Linked DNA regions of Sus scrofa. The protein of the gene in region 2 purifies or fractionates together with the protein of the main gene of each other region. This does not show direct contact. Links are inferred from orthologs where the notes say so. Each region holds a gene or a part of one and is shown on either strand. Other genes may lie near its edges.

Evidence for each region. Proteins that work in one complex are often made in the same cells at the same time.
Region 1: the proteins of SLBP (region 2) and MIF4GD purify together in Homo sapiens (affinity purification with western blotting; 3 studies listed by BioGRID and IntAct, with this or other methods). This does not show direct contact. The link is inferred for Sus scrofa from reciprocal best matches to the Homo sapiens genes SLBP and MIF4GD.
Region 3: the proteins of SLBP (region 2) and CTIF purify together in Homo sapiens (affinity purification with western blotting; 3 studies listed by BioGRID). This does not show direct contact. The link is inferred for Sus scrofa from reciprocal best matches to the Homo sapiens genes SLBP and CTIF.

The regions. Positions count from the first base shown.
Region 1 is NC_010454.4:6,045,391-6,051,368, reverse strand, and holds the start of MIF4GD (MIF4G domain-containing protein), read right to left. Parts: upstream 4,075-5,978; 5' UTR 3,891-4,074; intron 3,703-3,890; exon of another isoform or gene 3,476-3,702; intron 2,690-3,475; 5' UTR 2,646-2,689; coding exon 2,558-2,645; intron 1,404-2,557; coding exon 1,294-1,403; intron 1,092-1,293; coding exon 936-1,091; intron 835-935; coding exon 742-834; intron 1-741. UniProt on the Homo sapiens protein: Functions in replication-dependent translation of histone mRNAs which differ from other eukaryotic mRNAs in that they do not end with a poly-A tail but a stem-loop. May participate in circularizing those mRNAs specifically enhancing their translation.
Region 2 is NC_010450.4:807,458-812,783, forward strand, and holds part of SLBP (histone RNA hairpin-binding protein), read right to left. Parts: intron 4,157-5,326; coding exon 4,097-4,156; intron 3,541-4,096; coding exon 3,403-3,540; intron 1,723-3,402; coding exon 1,573-1,722; exon of another isoform or gene 1-1,572. UniProt on the Homo sapiens protein: RNA-binding protein involved in the histone pre-mRNA processing.
Region 3 is NC_010443.5:98,131,704-98,137,556, reverse strand, and holds the start of CTIF (CBP80/20-dependent translation initiation factor), read right to left. Parts: upstream 4,075-5,853; 5' UTR 3,943-4,074; intron 3,252-3,942; exon of another isoform or gene 2,927-3,251; intron 1-2,926. UniProt on the Homo sapiens protein: Specifically required for the pioneer round of mRNA translation mediated by the cap-binding complex (CBC), that takes place during or right after mRNA export via the nuclear pore complex (NPC).

The DNA of each region.
Region 1 (5,978 bases), on a different chromosome or scaffold from region 2:
GCCAGGCACCAGGGTTGGCCCTGTACACACGCTTCCCCACTTCATCCTCACAGCACCCCGTGGGCCCTGGCCACTGCTTGTGTGAAAGGAGCAAGTTGAGAGATTTGCCTGAGGTCTCTCAGTGGGCTAGGCTGGACTGGACTCTGGCCCTGTCTTCAAACTACTGCTTTTTTTTTTTTTTTTTTTTTTTTTTTTTTTTGGTCTTTTGTCTTCTTAGGGCTGCACTCTCAGCACAGAGGTTCCCAGGCTAGGGGTCTAATTGGAGCTGTAGCCACCAGCCTACACCACAGCCACAGCAACACGGGGTCCGAGCCCCATCTGTGACCTACACCATAGCTCTGGGCAATGCCAGATCCTTGACCCACTGAGCAACCTCATGGGTCCTAGCTGGATTCATTTCCACTGTGCCATGATGGGAACTCCTCCAAACTGCTTCTTAATCCTACTCCCCACCCCTCCCCCTATTTGGTTTCTGGGCCACCTGTACCCTCAGCTGGCTGATGCTCACCATTCCTATCATAGGTTGGCCTTCCTACTGGGAAGGCAGCCTCTGAGCCAGGAGGCTTTGGCTGTTCTCTGCTCTGGATGGATTCCAGACCTAGCAACTTCCCCTGTAACTGTGACAGGCCTTACATGCCCCCACCAAGCTCCTGCCCAGCAAGTGATGCCCTCGAAAGTCTCCATGGACAGTGAGCTGCGCCAAAGACTACCTCCCCAGGCTTCCGTGCCCAGGCCACCCACCTCCTCCTCCTTGCTCAGACTGTCCGGCTGGGCCAGCCGGAAGAGGCAGTCGTAGACCGGGTTCACCAGGGCCATCATGGGCATGTTGTTCACCTGCGGGGGAGAGTGAGCGCCACAGCACTGGCTTGGTGGCACAGGAGACAGGCCATCTCTGTTGCACGGGATGTGGCTGGTGGGGGTGGGGGGGCCCTCACCCTCAGGTAGTCAAAGATGTTGCAGATAAAGGTGACGTAGCAGACCCAGCCTTGCAGGGATCGTGCTCGAAGCTGCTCCCGAGCCTGGTACTCCTGCTGCAGCCGGTTGAGGAGTCCGCGGCGGAAGACACTCTGGCCAGCTTGCTTGCTCTCCGCCTGTGAGTGGGAGAAAGGCTGGTGAAGGGGCGTGACAGTGCTGTCACAATTCCACCCAAGCTTCTAAAGCTGAGGCCCCTGCTGTCCTCTTGTGCCTCTGAGGCCAGCCCTGTGCATCGCTGCCTGGCTAGCCAGGCCTCTGCCCACCTCTGAAGCACCTTCCTCCAAGCGTCTCCCCTCTGCTGTACCAACCCCACCCAACCTGAATGATGGCGTAGCACATGCGTCCTGCTTCCTTGCTGAACACACAGTCCTGCAGAGAATGGTCCACAATCACATTGGCCACCTTCTCCAAGTCCACGGCACCTGGATCTAGGGTAAAGACAGGTGGGGAATCTCGGGGTGCTTAATTATCACATTTGCCTCCACCTGCTTCTAAAGGCTCGTGATGTTCGCAGAAGAGCGAGCACTCCCGTGACGCCCTTCCATTTAAAGAGACCAGAGAACAGAAAGGAAACCGCACGCAGGAGCAGCTCTGGCCATGAGCCTCCTAGGGTGGCCCAATCAGCGGAAACAGGGAGGGTTACGCAGCTGTTAGGGAATGGAAGATGCTGGGTTTTTAGGACACATCTTTTCCTGGCACAAGGGTGAGGACGGAACCCTGAATAACAATGTCTTTGACAGCCGTCCACCAAAGGAAGTGTTCTCACAATGCACACATGAGCCCCCGACAAGAGCGGGCCAGGCGGGGCCTCCCCAGAGGCTTAGCTTGGCATGTGATAGGCATCGCTAATCGTTAGCTGAGGCAAACTTCTGTCCTGAGTGCTGCAGAAGGCACGGGTCCAGGACCACTACTTTCCTCCTCTGCCAAGCAGAACACTCCATCCTCTGTCCCAGGTCAGGCGGTGCTGCACACGGAAGAGAGCTGCTTGCAGCAACACAGAAACCAGGTCCTGTGTAAGGGCTTGAAGGGCAGGAACTGCGTCCTCTGTGCCTCGCCCTCCTGTCCTGCGTACGTAACCTTTTAAAAAAACGCTTTATGGAGTTCCCGTCGTGGCGCAGTGGTTAACGAATCCAACTAGGAACCATAAGGTTGCGGGTTCAGTCCCTGGCCTTGCTTAGTGAGTTAAAGGATCCGGCGTTGCCGTGCGCTGTGGTGTAGGTCGCAGACACGTCTCGGATCCCACGTTGCTGTGGCTCTGGTGTAGGCTGGTGGCTACAGCTCCGATTAGACCCCTAGCCTGGGAAACTCCATATGCCACAGGAGCGGCCCAAGAAATGGCAAAAAAAGACAAAAAAAAAAAAAAAAAAAAAAGCTTTATGATTGGAAGGGTGACTCTATGATTCATACTCCCAAATACTGGCCTACATGGGCTTGTCTTCCAGTTCCAGAATTATGTTGCTGACTCCCATTCTCAGAAACTGAAGGGAGAGGCCTGGGCGTTACGGCTCAGTCCTCCGGTCCTGTCCCCCTGGGCCCTTCTGTGTAGCTCTGGACCCAGGCTCGGGAGGCTCCCCGCGCTCACCTTTGAGTGCTGTCTTCAGCAGCTGCTGGCTCTCTGCATCAAAAGACTGGATTCTGTACTCCTCTCTACCAGGCTCCCCCATGACCATCCAGCCTCAGGTGCTCTTTACTGGGGTGGGATGAGTGACAGCACCTGGGGAGGAGCAGCGAAGGGAGAGGCCTTGGGTGTGGAGCGTGGCGCCAGGGTTCCCAGCCCTATGTGCCCTGGGCAGAACTGGCCAGTGCTTGGGACAGGTGCTCCTGGGCAGTCTTTGGCATTCAGGGCTTGGTTAGGTGCCCACAAAGCTTGGCTTCTGGTGGTGAGGCTGGCCAGGCACCTGCTGCTCAGTTAAAGAAGCCCTGCAGCTTCTGGGATTACACAAGAGGAAAGAGACCTCTACTCTCCAGCCCCAGCAGGAGGCAGGATTATTCTCAGCTGACACCAAGGCTGGGGTGAGGTGGGGTGTGATGGGCTGGGGGGATGAAGAGGTCGATAATTGGACACTTTTCCTGCCTATATACGCCGGTCTGGAAGCTGCTGGTCCAGCATGATTCTCAGCGAGTGAGATGGCTACAGGCTCCACGCTGTGGACAGCTCTGTCCCTGCAAAGTTCCAAGCCCCTCTCCCCAACTCAACCTTAGTCAAAGTCCTCGGTCCAGAGAGCCCACCCCTCCAACCCACGGGATAAGGCTGGCCAGAGGGCTGGGCGCAGAAGCGTCTCTGCCGCCCTGACGCCCCCTTTCCTGGCCAGCTTCTCCCCAGGATGGACTGGTTAAACTGGCCTCCTGAGTGGTAGAGACTCAGCCTGGCCCACCCAGGATTCCCAGTTCCTCAGTTCCATTCTAGATCCTTTCTCTTAAGGAGGGGAGCGGGATTACGTATCTTCCAGGAGTGGTCCCCCCTTTCCGGACTCGGAGATAGCCTTAGGGTTCTCCAGACCTGGGCAGCTTCCCTAAGCTCGGAACGCCCTTCCCGGCGGCTCAGCGCAGCCCACCGTCCGGTGTCCCGTGGGGTGGAGAGATGGTGGGAGCGCCAGGACCCACCTGCCACGCCGGCGCCGCGCCCGCGTGCCCAGAGGCCGTCCGGCTGGCATGGTGCGCGCGGCCCGCGCCCGCGGCGCTGCTGGCGAGGCCGGCCGCGCCTTGCTGCCGCTTAGGTCACTTCCTAGTGCAGGGGGCGGGGCGGGGCCCAGGGCAGGGGGGCGGGGCCTGGCCCGGCCGCCTCGCCGACGCCACCTGCCGGAGCCCCGACGACGCTGCCCCCGCCGCGCCACCGGGCACGCCCGGAAGTTCGGAGCTTGGAGCCAGGCAGGACGCCGGTGACCCTGCTCCCACCGCCGCTATCCTCTCCTCACCTGGTTCTCCCACGGCCTGTCCGGGACCACAACGGCTGCTCGGCGTTGGGCCCGATGTGCTCCGCGGCCGGCATGAAGCCCTCGGTCTTGAGCGCTGGCACCCCCCCCTTCGCCCCGCCCCCACACCAGGGCTCAGGTTAAAACGGGGTCAGGAGACTCGCCTGGCCGCGCGGTGTGGGAGGAGCCTGCGGGGGGCGTGGCCTTCAGCCCGGGGGGTGGGAGGGCCGAGAGGATGGCTGGAGGGGCAGGACTTCGCAGGTGGTGGCACTTTTACCCCCACCCCACCTCTCAAGGTGAGAGCGGGAAGGTGGTAAGGGCCGGATCGAGTCCCATTAAGCCCCTCTCCTACTCCAAATACACACGCTATTTAATGGTAAAACTAGTTGAAAATCAATGGGCTAACCCAAGAGAAAGGGTCCCAGGTGCCAGCTTGCAGAGGGGAGGTGTTAGGAGTGACCCTGAGGTTGCGCAAGCCCCCTGGCTCAGTCTGTCTTGGTTGGGGCTGGGGGGAGGCACGGGGCGCAGCAGTCCAGACAGGGCCACCCCTGAGGTCAGCCCTGGGTTGCAGGAGGGCACACAGAAGAGGCTGGCAAAGAACTGCCTTGTCCCATCGATTAGACAAGAAGTGTCCATGGCGGTTTTCTGTATCCAAAGCTCTCTCCTGTCAAGCTGGTCAGCAGAAAATGAACAAGGAAGACAGTCTCAGCAGAATCTCAGAATCAAGTTCACTTCAATGGAATTTCATAAAAAATACATTCAGGCAGCTGCCTCCCTGTAGCCCCAAGCCTTGACTGCCAAACCCCTGTGGGTGTGGGGGCCCCCCAGCCACAGCTGCCAAGAGCAGGACAGCTTCAGGATTCTGGGTCCCAGACACATCACAAAACCCCAGACCAGAGATGAAGCAGTAACGGCGTGCAGGAGCCCAGGATCCAGAGGGACTGAGAGCCGTGACAGCCCCCAAGACCACATGCTAGGAAGAAGGCTGGAGCTAGAGCCGAGGTGAGGCCAGCGTGGGGCTCCCTCTGCAGGGCCAACCCCTCAGGCCGAGCTCCCCTGGGGGCCTGGGCGTGAGGAGACCTGGGGGGGAGGTGGTGGTTATGTTCTGTAGATTTTCTTCACCTCTCAAACCCCTGTGCCCTGAAGACTCCAGGGCACCAGCTGTGCTCGCACCAGGCTGCCTGTTCAACCCCTTCCTTCTGGGATTACAGAGGACGCACACAACGCCTTGCTGGACCCAGGAGGAGCAGCCTGAGCAGGCAGCGGCTGCCCAGTGGCTCAGCTGTAGGCTCCCACCCACCCAGGAGAGCTGACCCAGCCCCCCAGTGAAAGAGGGGTGATCCCCGGTAGACCAGGGAAAAGGGGTGCTGCCTTTACCCACACCCCCTCCCCGTAGCACATCCCCCCAGTCTGCAGGGCTGCTTAGTATCTGCTTTCCCTCAAGGCCCACAGGCTGGGGCCAGGCCTGCCCAGAGAGAGAAGTGAGTGATGATGAGCTTTTTTTTAGGGCCACTCCCACAGCATCCACAGCATATTGAAGTTCCCAGGCTGGGGGTCTAATGGGAGCTGTAGCCGCCAGCCTACACCACAGCCACAGCAACGCCAGATCCTGGCCACATCTGTGACCTACACCACAGCTCATGGCAATGCCAGATCCTTAACCCGCTGAGCGAGGTTAGGGATCGAACCCACATCCTCACGGATACTAGTTGGGTTCTTAACCTGCTGAGCCACAACAGGAAGGCCCAATGATGCCTTCTAGACATGAAGATTTGAGCCTGGCTGGGTTTATAAAAGGAGCAACGCAGCTGGGATTCTTCACCCAGGAGCAAAAGCAAAGCTGCCTGGGGGATGCAAATGCTGAGAAAAATAGAATTCAGGAAAGTAGGAAAAAAAAATAAGAGAAGAAAATAACAAAAAAATGAATAAATAAAAGTAAAATTAGAAAAGGAAAAAAAAATTACAAGTGGCGAGCAGGGCTCCCTTCCCTCCTCCTTTGTGAAGGATGTGATGGATGGGGCGATGGAGAGAAGATACGGAGCCTGCTTCCAGCCTTGATGTCTATTAAGTGAGTCGGTGGGAGAGAGAAGT
Region 2 (5,326 bases):
ACACCCACGTCCAGACTCAGCCCTGCCCGGGCCACCCAGAGGAGAGGCAAGGCGGCAGCAGTTACTGCAGGCAGGAGGCCCAGAGCAGACAGCAACCTGCCCGTCCTCGACGGCAGCGGCGACCCACAGGCGCCCACGAGCATCCTTGGGAGCGGAAGCATAAACAGTAAGTGTGGGGGGAGAAGAACACTGAGAAACCACACCACACACAGTCGCTGATGCTTCCAACTCCCTCCGCATGAGGAGACGGGAAGAGGGACAAGCTGGACAAGAGCGAGTGACGCTGGCGAGCCCAAGTCTGAGAACAGGTTGGACGCTGTTTCAACATGACAGTTGCTGGAGTTCCCGTCGTGGCTCAGTGGTTAATGAATCCGACTAGGAACCAGGAGGTTGTGGGTTCAATCCCTGGCCTCACTCAGAGGGTTAGAGATCCGACGTTACTGTGAGCTGTGGTGTATGTAGGTCACAGACGCGGCTCAGATCCCGCATTGCTGTGGCTGTGGTGCAGGCCGGCGGCTACAGCTCCAATTCGACCCCTAGCCTGGAACCTCCATGTGCGGTGGGTGTGGCCCTAAAGACCAAAAAAAAAAAAAAAAAAAAAAAAGTTTCCCAGTAAATTTCCCTGGCACAGAGCAAAACTCACACATTCACGAGAATAAACGTGTCTGTGAGGGAGAGAGAGGTTTGGGTCAGAAGGGAGCTGGGGGTGTAAGCCGGCAGCCACAGCTCCCACTGTGACACAGCAGGTTAACGATCCCGCCTTGTCTCTGTGGCGGTGCAGGTTCAACCCCCAGCCCAGTACGGTGGGTTAAGGACCCAGCGCTGCTGCGGCTGTGGCCAGGTGGAGTTCAGATTCAATCCCTGACTCAGGTCCCCCCATAGGCCACAGGCGCAGCCAAAAGGGAGTTGAGAAGAGAGGCTGCAGAGCCCAGGCTCTCTCTGCCTCTGTGTCCACCCAGCACCCTGACCACGTGGCAGAAACAAGCCTGAGATCTTCCCAACTAGATGCAGCTTAAAGAGATAAAAGCTGGGAGTTCCCATTTTGGCTTAACAGTCATAGCCCAACTAGTATTCATGAGACGCAGGTTCAATCCCTGGCCCTGCTCAGTGGGTTAAGGATCCGGTATTGCTGTGAACTGTGGTGTAGATGGCAGATGTGGCTTGGATCCCATGTGGCTGTGGCTGTGGCTGTGGCGTAGGCCCAGCTCCGATTCGACCTCTAGGCTGGGAACTTCCATGTGCTGTGGTGCAGCCCTCAAAAGACAAAAAAAAAGTTTATCTTAGGAACAAACAGAACCCCCACATATCTCTAGGTTTATTGCAATCAATTTCCCCAGCTGCAAAGTGAATTCAACCCAGGAAGCACCCTCCTCCCCCGAGCCCGCCCAGAGCCCAGGCTTCACACACTTGTGCAGAGAAAAGGGACATGAAACTGTGACCACTGGCTGCTCTGCTCCCCCAGAACATCCAGGTGGACACTGTGCCAGGACAACCCGCCACGACCAAGTGACAAGGCCTCTGCAGTCACTGCAGGAGCTGCAGGAGCGGGAGGAGAATGCAGTACAGACATACATTTCTTCCAAGTCACACCCTTCGGCAGCTGGAGGGTCCCAGAAATGCAGCGCCACCTTCCACAGTTTGATCTGCTGGTCCCACGATCGTCGACTGTACTTCTTGAACTTGTTGGGAGTCCTGGGATGAACGCCAGGTTGTCGGAGGTGCCTGACAGGAGAGAGAAACGGTCCTGGCACACACCTCTCACTTCTGCACACTGGCTTCCAGAGGAACAAACTCCGAGATGAGTCTCATTAAAAACCACAGACCAGTGAGATTCCACACAACGAACAAAGGAACCGATAACCAGCACTACGTCCTTGGCGACGCGATTTCTTTGCAATCTAGGCTGCAGAAAAGTACATCTGACCTGCAGTTCTGCCAGAAGCAGACACACTCTCTAAAGCTCCGTCCTTGTGGGGCGGGAGGGTGCCACTTACGCAAACTGGGACAATGCTCGTGGTTTTCTCTAGTGAGATATTTACCATCTGTAATTTGAACTTCACTTTTTCCATCACGTATTTTCATAATTTTACATTTATAAGAAAGCTGCATGGAGTTCCCGTCGTGGCGCAGTGGTTAACGAATCCCCCTGAGGTTGCGGGTTCAGACCCCTGCCCTTGCTCAGTGGGTTAAGGATCCAGCGTTGCCATGAGCTGTGATGTAGGTCGCAGACGCAGCTCGGATTCCGAGTTGCTGTGGCTCTGGTGTAGGCTGGAGACTACAGCTCCGATTCGACTCCTAGCCTGGGAACCTTCATGTGCTGTGGGAAGCGGCCCTGGAAAAGGCAAAAAGACAAAAAAAAAAAAGAAAGAAAGGAAAGCTGCGGAGCTCCCACTGTAGCGCAATAGGATCTGCGGCCTCTTGGGACCACCGCAACACGGGTTCGACTCTGGGCCCAGCACAGTGGGTTAAGGATCCAATGTTGCTGCAGCTGCAGCTTAGGTCTCAATTGTGGTTCAGATCTGATCCCTGGCCCGGGAGCTCCATATGCCGTGGGTGGCCAAAAATGAAAAGAACAAAAAAACTGGGAGTTCGCGTCACAGCTCAGCGCCAACAAACTCGACCAGTACCCATGAAGACTTGGGTTGCATCTCTGGCCCTGCTCAGTGGGTTAAGGATCTGGCGTTGCCGTGAGCTGTGGTCTAGGTCGCAGAAGCAGCTTGGATTCCGCGTGGCTGTGGCTGTGGTGTACGCTGGCAGCTGCAGCTCCAGTTGACTCCTAGCTTGGGAAATTCCATATGCCTCGGTGCAGCCCTAAAAAGCAAAAAAAAAAAAAAAAAAAAAAAAAAAAGAGGTGTTCCCGTCATGGCGCAGTGGTTAACAAATCCGACGAGGAACCATGAGGTTGCGGGTTCGATCCCTGCCCTTGCTCAACGGGTTGAGGATCTGGTGTTGCCGTGAGCTGTGGTGTAGGTTGCAGACGCGACTCGGATCCTGCATTGCTGTGGCTGTGGTGTAGGCCGGTGGCTACAGCTCCGATTGGACCCCTAGCCTGGGAACCTCCACATGCCGCAGGAGTGGCCAAAGAAATAGCAAAAAGACAAAAAAAAATAAAAGAAAAAAGAAAAAAGGCAAAAAAAAAAATAAAAAACAAATTATAAGACAGCTGTGAGTCTTAAGAAATGAAATGTCACCTAACGTTGTAAACTACGAAAACATTCCATCTTTTGTCTTTGAGTTCTCAGTCTTTCAGCCGCCGGCCCACTCACCCCATTTACACAAGCGCCCGAAAGCCCTTAACAACACAGTTGTTAGCAGGTGTGAGCGACGTGCAGAATCAGACGGAGCACCCAGACGGCAAGGGCCCGTGGGAGCAGGCGGCGCCGCGCCGCGGGGCAGGACTACCTTGGGACTTCCTTGATGTAGCGGTCGTAGGCGATGGTGTTCTTCCCGTAGTTGATCTGCTTCTGTCTCCGCATCAGGACGCTCTCGTCAGTCTCCAGGTCAGCTGGCAGCGCAGACAGAGACTCCTTCGAGTCGGAACTAAGACAGTGAAATGAACAGAACGGGCCTGGCGGTGAGGACCAGTGTGGAAGGAAACGCCGAGACTCGACAACGGAGCATCTGCCCTGCGGGTCCCACACCCCATCAACCCGCCCAGGCCGCGGTCTTTGAACATGTGGGAGTTTGGTACACAAGAGCCCACATTCGAACAGCAGTGAAGAAGAGAAACACAGTAAGTGCACCGAGACACGCAGCTTCCCGCAGTCACAAGTTTTCTCATTAATAAATTACAGGCCTATTAAATTAGAAAAGAGGAGTTCCCGTCGTGGTGCCGTGGAAACGAATCCGACTAGGAACCATGAGGGTGCGGGTTCGGTCCCGGGCCCCGCTCGGTGGGTTAAGGATCCGGCGTTGCCGTGAGCTGTGGTTGGTGTGGGTCAGACGCGGCTCGGATCCCGAGTTGCTGTGGCTGTGCTGCAGGCCGGCGGCTACGGCTCCGATTCGACCCCGAGCCTGGGAGCCTCCAAGTGCTGCAGGAGCGGCCCTGGAAAGACAAAATAAGTAAATGAGGACAGGAGCGATTCCCAGCACTTACCTTCCTGATGAGGATTTCCTCTCTCTTCCAAAGTCATTGACGAGGAGTTTCCTCTTATACCTGAGAGCGAAGCACATGCTGTTGTTCTTAAAAAGGCACAGACGTTAACTTTCCGCAAGGCTTTCAGAGCTAAAACACACACAGGAACAAAGCCTCTGAGGGTGCGGTCTGCTCTCTCGAGCTCCGCCTCCAGCAGTCACCTTCTCTGACTAACAGACACAGGGCTGAAAATTACTCGTCAAGACCACAGAAAGTGCTTAAAGCAACAGGTTCCAGGCCTGCGTGTCCTCCAGCAGTTTCTGTTTAAGTAGTGAGATCCAAACACCAAGATATTTACACCCTCTAATCCCGGAGACTTTGGAAAAACCTAACAGGGAGTTGAAATCAGAAGTTTTCTTTACGATACCAAAAGTACTCAACCAGACGTGCGTGCCTCCAGGGCACTGCCCCCCTTCTCGGGAAGAGACTGAACGCCCCCCCTTCCTTGCCGACTTCACAAGGCATCTGCTTTCTATACAGGATCCACCAGCACCCAGCTTTGCAAAGGTGTGACACCAGAAAAGAAAGTGGAGTAAAAGCTGATGCTGAAGCTGAGCACCACCTCCGGCCAGAGGTTCACGCAGCTGACTGCGCCTCTTTCCAAAGCTAAAACCCTCCCGCCTCCCAAGTTCGCTGCGGCAGCCCAGCGAGTCTGGACGCCAGGGGACAAGGACCTCGTTTCCCTCCTGTGCGTCGGGACGGCAGTGATGACCCGCCACCCTAGGAGAAGCGAGAAACCAGTCCCTTCCACCCTCTTCGGGAGGGTTTCCTTCTTTGTGGAGGCCAAGGGGAAAAGACGGGCTTTGGGTATGACTCAAACCCATCCTCAGATTTTCAGACAGCTGGCAGGAAGGACGGCAGGCTGGCATCGTCGGCTCCCATAACCTGGGGTGTAGAAGGCGGCACCGCCCCATGAGAAGGGGCGTGCGCCCCAGAGCGGCTCGAAGCGCTCTGGCCGAGAGGAGGCCTGCTGTGCGTGGCAGAGACAGGCCTGTGAGACGACGGAGCAAGAGGGGTCCACCAACAAGAGGGTCCGGACAGGAGGGTGTCCTGCAGGGCAGGAGAGCTGCAGCCAGGGCCCGTGAGGCGTGGCGGCGCAGTGAAGACACACAGCACACACAGTGTTACAGGCCTTGGGAGCAGGACACAAAAACGCCATCGACCAAGTCAGGCAGCCTGACCTCACAGCCG
Region 3 (5,853 bases), on a different chromosome or scaffold from region 2:
TTCTCTGTTGCTTCCTTCTTCATTTGCTCTAGGATCAGGACTGGCATTCTGTGTCCCTTGCAACCAACATATGTCCCAGGATGAGTGCTCTAAAATATTTATGATTTGTTCCCTCCTGCAAGCTCTGATTCATCCAGGTTTTTGGTTTGTTTTTTTTTTTTTTTTTTTTTTTTGCACTGCAACTTAGCTGTTTCTGCTATCCTATCTTTGTGTGTCCCCAACACAGCGGAGTATCTAGCCTATGAGTAGGTGCTTAACAAATATTTGCTGGGCCTAAAATCTTAATTTACCTCCACAGCTAGGAGATATCTTTGGCAAGCAGGGTCGGTATGTTAAAGTCTTTGTATGTGCTTCGAGATACACAAACATGTGGGTGCTCAATATATATCTGTGAATGAATAGTTGATTATCGGGACAAACCCAATAATTCTCCAGGCTGTGTCTGAGAGCTTTCATGTGCACGAACTGAGAAATATACACAGGTACGTAGGAGCTCTTTGTTCTTTTCAAGGCTTCCCTATCCCTGGAGATGCAGGGCACAGGGAGTAGAAGCTGGGTGGTTTCTCAGGAGCTACTTTAAATCTATGGTTTTAGAATCAAGGAACTAAAGAATAAACCTTGGCTTCAATAAGGACCCCATGAACACACCCACATGTGTGGGAGAAACATGTATCCAGATGTATTTATTATATACAGGTATAATTTTGTAAATACGGGGTGTTCCAAAGCCGATAATTCGATCATTCACCAAAAGCAAATTATCAGATGAGTGATAATAACAGCAATGCAGACTTCTGTTCTTTAATGACCTATTCTTGTTAGGACATGTAGCAAATCAAAAGTGTTTCTGACAAAAAATAAATACCATAATTCACCCCCCTTCTCAGGTTCAGTACTTCCACAGGTATCAAGACCTACTCTGAAAAAGAAAAGAAAGCAAAAAAAGGTGGCCACTATTTAGATTAAAAGCCATAGGCTGATATGTGAAATTACAGAAAGGAGAGTTCCCGTCGTGGCGCAGTGGTTAACAAATCCGACTAGGAACCATGAGGTTGCGGGTTCGATCCCTGCCCTTGCTCAGTGGGTTAACGATCCGGCGTTGCTGTGAGCTGTGGTGTAGGTTGCAGACACGGCTCGGATCCCGCGTTGCTGTGGCTCTGGCGTAGGCCAATGGCTACAGCTCCGATTCAACCCCTAGCCTGGGAACCTCCATATGCTGCGGGAGCGGCCCAAAGAAATAGCAAAAAAAAAAAGACCAAAAAAAAAAATTACAGAAAGGCTTAGGGCAAGTTGCATCATTTTTTGAGCCTCAGTGTTCTATTCTGTAAAGGGGGGGGTTAATACCCCTCCACCTCATGGGGCCCTCTTAATAAATATGATGGGGGGGCGCCCTGTAAAGTCACACAAACATATTATTATCCTAGCAATGTGTTAATCACTGATGACACTGTACCCAAAATGCTTTACAAAATTACTGCCTCCAAGTATACATGACCCAGGACAGATACTTGACAAAGATGAGATGATCTGTGTGCAAATCGAATCCTGTCTCAAACATTCAAAGGGAGCTTCCTCAGGCAACCTTAATGCCTTCTGTGAAGGGCTGAACATTTTATAACCTCTGCTCGGTGCGTTCTGTTCCAGTATAATTGGGTTTCCTGAAAGCCAATTTTCTCGCACGATGCGAGCATGCTCGTAGCAGGGATCCCTGAGGTTTTTGCCCAGGCCCCGCGTGGACAGGAGGAACCGGGCTGGACAGCCTGCAGCCCCTCCCCGCCCTCTGGGCGGCTCCTTCCTCTCCCCTCCAGATCCGCAGCAGTGGCGCTCGTGCTGTGTCACTTTCGCCCTCGGGAGCCTTCAGCCGCGGTGAAGCCCGCAGCTCCAGCAGCTTCCTCCCTTAGCTCGCGGGCCCCTAGCCTGGGAGATAATCACCCGGCCGCAGAGACCCAGCGCGGAGAGAACGGAGCCCGCAAAGGCGTGCACAAGGCCGAACACCCCGCAGCGGCGCAGAAGGCAGCGCGGGGCTGGGCCCGGGGCCGCGCAGGCCAGGCAGCCTTTGGCCCGCACTATCTCCAGCACGAAAAATTGGGAGGGGGGTGGGGCATAGCATGTTGATTCTCTCCAGCTGCGAAGGTAGCGGCAGGCGCGGGCACGCGCACCCACAGAGCGCCTCCGGCCAAGGGTCAACCGAGAGGGGGTGGGAGTGCGACACGCGCACGCCCGAGACTCCTCCAGGCCCCACCAGACCAGTCCCCAGCGACTCGGAGTAGGCAGTCAGCTCGCCGGGTCAGGGGGACTTCCGGGCTGCGAAGGGAGAGACCGTCGCACCTCTCTGGCCAGGGACTCCCTCACTGACTCCGCGTACACGCAACTCCAGGGTCTCCCCGGGCCCCCAGCCGCACGCCCCCCTCTCCAAGTAACCCCCGGCGCGAGCGCGAACAGACACAAGACGACGAGCCCTGGCGGGACCGATCCCCGTGGGGTATCGGGGCCCACTCGCGTCCCCACTACGCCGCTCTCTGCAGTCCCCGCCCCCGCCCCAAGCCGGAGCGGTGTGTACACACACAAACAGCTGGGCGGGGGAGGCGACGCCTCACTCTCCGGGATGGGGATGCACACCGCGCCGCCAACCATCCCTCCCTTTACACGCCGCACCTCCCTCTCTGCTCACATCTGTCCCCCGACCCCAACCCTGAAAACTCCACGAAACCGAAGAGCCAACACCGCCCAGATGAGGGGCTCAGACCCCGGAGTGTCATTTAATGTCAATGGAGAGACGTACCCAACTCAGATGCGCGGTTCCCGGGACGCCTCCCCCAGGTGCCCCCAGGCTCGGGTACGCGGCCCTAAGGAGCACCAGACCGCAGCAGCAGACCAGCCACCGCACCCTCCCCCCCCGCCCCAAGCCGGTGTTCAGGACAGTCACCTGCTCGCTGAAGAACCCGAGCTGGAGCCCACTCCGCTCCGGCTTGGGTCACCAGCTCCACCGCGAGCTGGTTTTTCAGAGCCTGTCAACTTAACCCCTGCTCCGCCGATGGATCTATTCCCTAGGCCCAGATACACAGCGGCGACAAGAATAATAATAAATAAGCCAACACAATCACCGCTGCGGGGAATGTCCAAAGCTGCGACTGCAATGGATCCACCGATCCAGTTTCCTCCTCTGCTCCCATCCCCCACGCCCCCCGCGGCCCGCGGGCTCACCAGGGACGGAGGGAGGGAGCAGCCTGTCTAGACGACAGACATCCCCGCGCCCGCGGGGACGGGCGCGCACACACATTCACACGCGGCCGCTGCCACTGACACAATCAGTCACCGAAGGAGGGAGGGGCAGCGAGGAGACATTCTCTCCGGGTCCCTCCGGGAGCCGCGAGCGCAGCAGCCTCCGGCCGGGAGCCGCCACCCGGAGCTGCGCTCCCTACCTCAGCGGAGCGCGGTCAAAACAGCTGCAAGTTTGGCCGCTACTAAACCAACTGCTTGATGCAGCAAATGCGGGCTTCAAAACAAAAGGGAGAGGAATCACGCTCGCTCTCTTCCTCCCCCCCCCACGGGTCGGAATCCGGCACATGACAGCGGCTACAACGCGCGGCTCCAACGCGAGCCGAGCTCCAGCCGAGCGCCCCCCCGCCAAGAACCCCCCTCCTCACAGGAGCTCCAGGGCTTCGGCTCCCCTACCGGCGGGGAACCCTGCGGAGAAGCAGCAAACCTGAGGAGGGGGCGAGACCGCGTAGTGCGGTCCTCTACAGAGGCGGGGACCACGGATGGGCGCGGACGCCTGGCCGCCCCGGACTCAGGGAGGGGGGAAGGGGGCGAATTGTTTGGGGCGGTTTTCCCGGATTTATCTATAAGCACGCGCACGTCACGCAGCCGTCCTCTCGGGTCCCCGAATCGACCCGCAAGCGGAGATGACTAAAAGAGGGGGGCGGGCAGGGGGATGCTCACCTCGGGGTTCCTCTGGCCGCCGCTCCGAGCCCGAGCCGGGGGGTGGGGGAAGGGGGCAGGGAAGGAGAAGGGAGGGAGCAGGCTCGGGAGAGCCTACTCCTGCCTCGAGTTCCGTGCGTCCGGGCAGCGGAGGGGCTCCGGCGCCCCAGCGCACCAACCCAGCAGAGAGGGGAGGGAGGGAGGGAAGGGAAAGAGGGAGGGAGGGGCGGGTAGGGGGGAGGGAGTAAAGGAAGGAAAAAAAATGATCCCTGCTCTGACACAGGGAAAGAGAATGTTGAAGAGTGACGTCCAGTCCCCGCCCTCCCCTCCGGCCACGTGCAAAGACTCGAAAGGAAAGAGGGCGGCGGGAGGCCTGCTGGGTAATGTAGTTCTCCTTTCTTTCCCGGGATGGCGGGCCCTGGAGAGCGGGACGCCGCGGGGAAGCCGGGGATGCCGCCTGAGCAGCCTAGATAGCCCAGTCTAGCCACCCCAAAACCGGCCGACCAAACCCGGCTCCCCTCACGACCTTGGCACGGCCTTGGATGGGAACCTCTGCGTGGGGAGAACTGGGGGCTTAGGCGCGGTCCAGGCTTGCAGGATAACATTGGGTTTTAGGGACCAGACCAGTTTTAAGGATGTGGACTTCCTTACTTTAAGTGCTAAGTCCGTACTAATGGCAGATAAAAGGGAGCTTTGTGTACGCATTGGGCTGCCCAAGTGTAGTTATTAACGCTGTATTAAATGCTAACGTCTGTTATTGAGATGCATATGTTATAATTAACATTTGAACATCTCAGTGGCAGGGGTGGGATGTTGTAATTAGATATGCACTTTGCAACCAATTAATTTTCCATTGGCCATGGCAAGGGCTAAAGCAGGGAGAATTCAATGCAATGGATAATTCAGTAATCACTTAACCAAATCACCAGTGTTTTCCAAGTACCTACTAGGTGCTAGGCACTGAGCCTTCTAGAGAAACATATGATGCTGCACACCCTCCAGGCAAGGGGATTATAAACTCGGGGGAGGAACTGTGTGACAATATAATCAAAGAAAATCATGTACTACGTCATGTAACATTTGGTGGGTATTTTTCACAGATGGGATAGTTCTGGGACTGCCAAGACAGAGCCTCGATTCCTGCCCTTAAGGAGCTCAACATCTGGTTAAGGACCACAGACAAGGAAAGTAGAGTAAGTCAACACTTAACATGAGAATAAGCATAAAGTGCCAGGTATCTCTCAGGATGGAGGGTGGCTGCAGGTGGGAGAGGGTCAAGGAAGTCTTCCTGGAAGAAGTAAGTAGTACTGTAGCTAAAAATACTAAAATTTTTAACAAGGCAAAGGATGCGGTAGGCCTCTGACTAAGGCTACAGGGTATAAAGTCTCCGTATGAGAGATAAGAGAGCAAATTATGCAAGTCCCAGCAGTTTGGCAGGGCAGAAGAGGGCAGGGACCCCAAAAGGAGGCTCAGGGATGAAGGGTGGGTCTAGAGGGCAAAAGGAGCCTAGGATGGCTTTTTGCCAGAGATGGGGTTTGCCGTGGGCCTTTGAAGAAATGGTGGGATTTCTTTGAGAGTGGAGAGCATGTGTTCTTGGCTCCAGGCTCAGAATGCACCAAGCCATCAAAGGCAAGCAAAGCAACATCCAGTCACATCCAGTAGAGCAGCTCATTTGACTCTTGCATCAAAGGGCATGGAGGGAGGTCATCTTCTCCCTTCTAGAGGAAGGCAGCAGGCACGGAGTTGCACATTTGTGATAGGCAGAGTGGGTACCAGAAGCTAGTTGTCTGGGTGCCAGTCCCAGTCCCCAGGCCAAAGGAACACACTTAAGCACACCTGACTCTTTCCGCTGGTGGGTCCCTCCCTCTTAGCATTTATGCCTCATAGGCTCCACAGTTATTTTTGTGCTTTGACATCTGAATGATTTCCTAG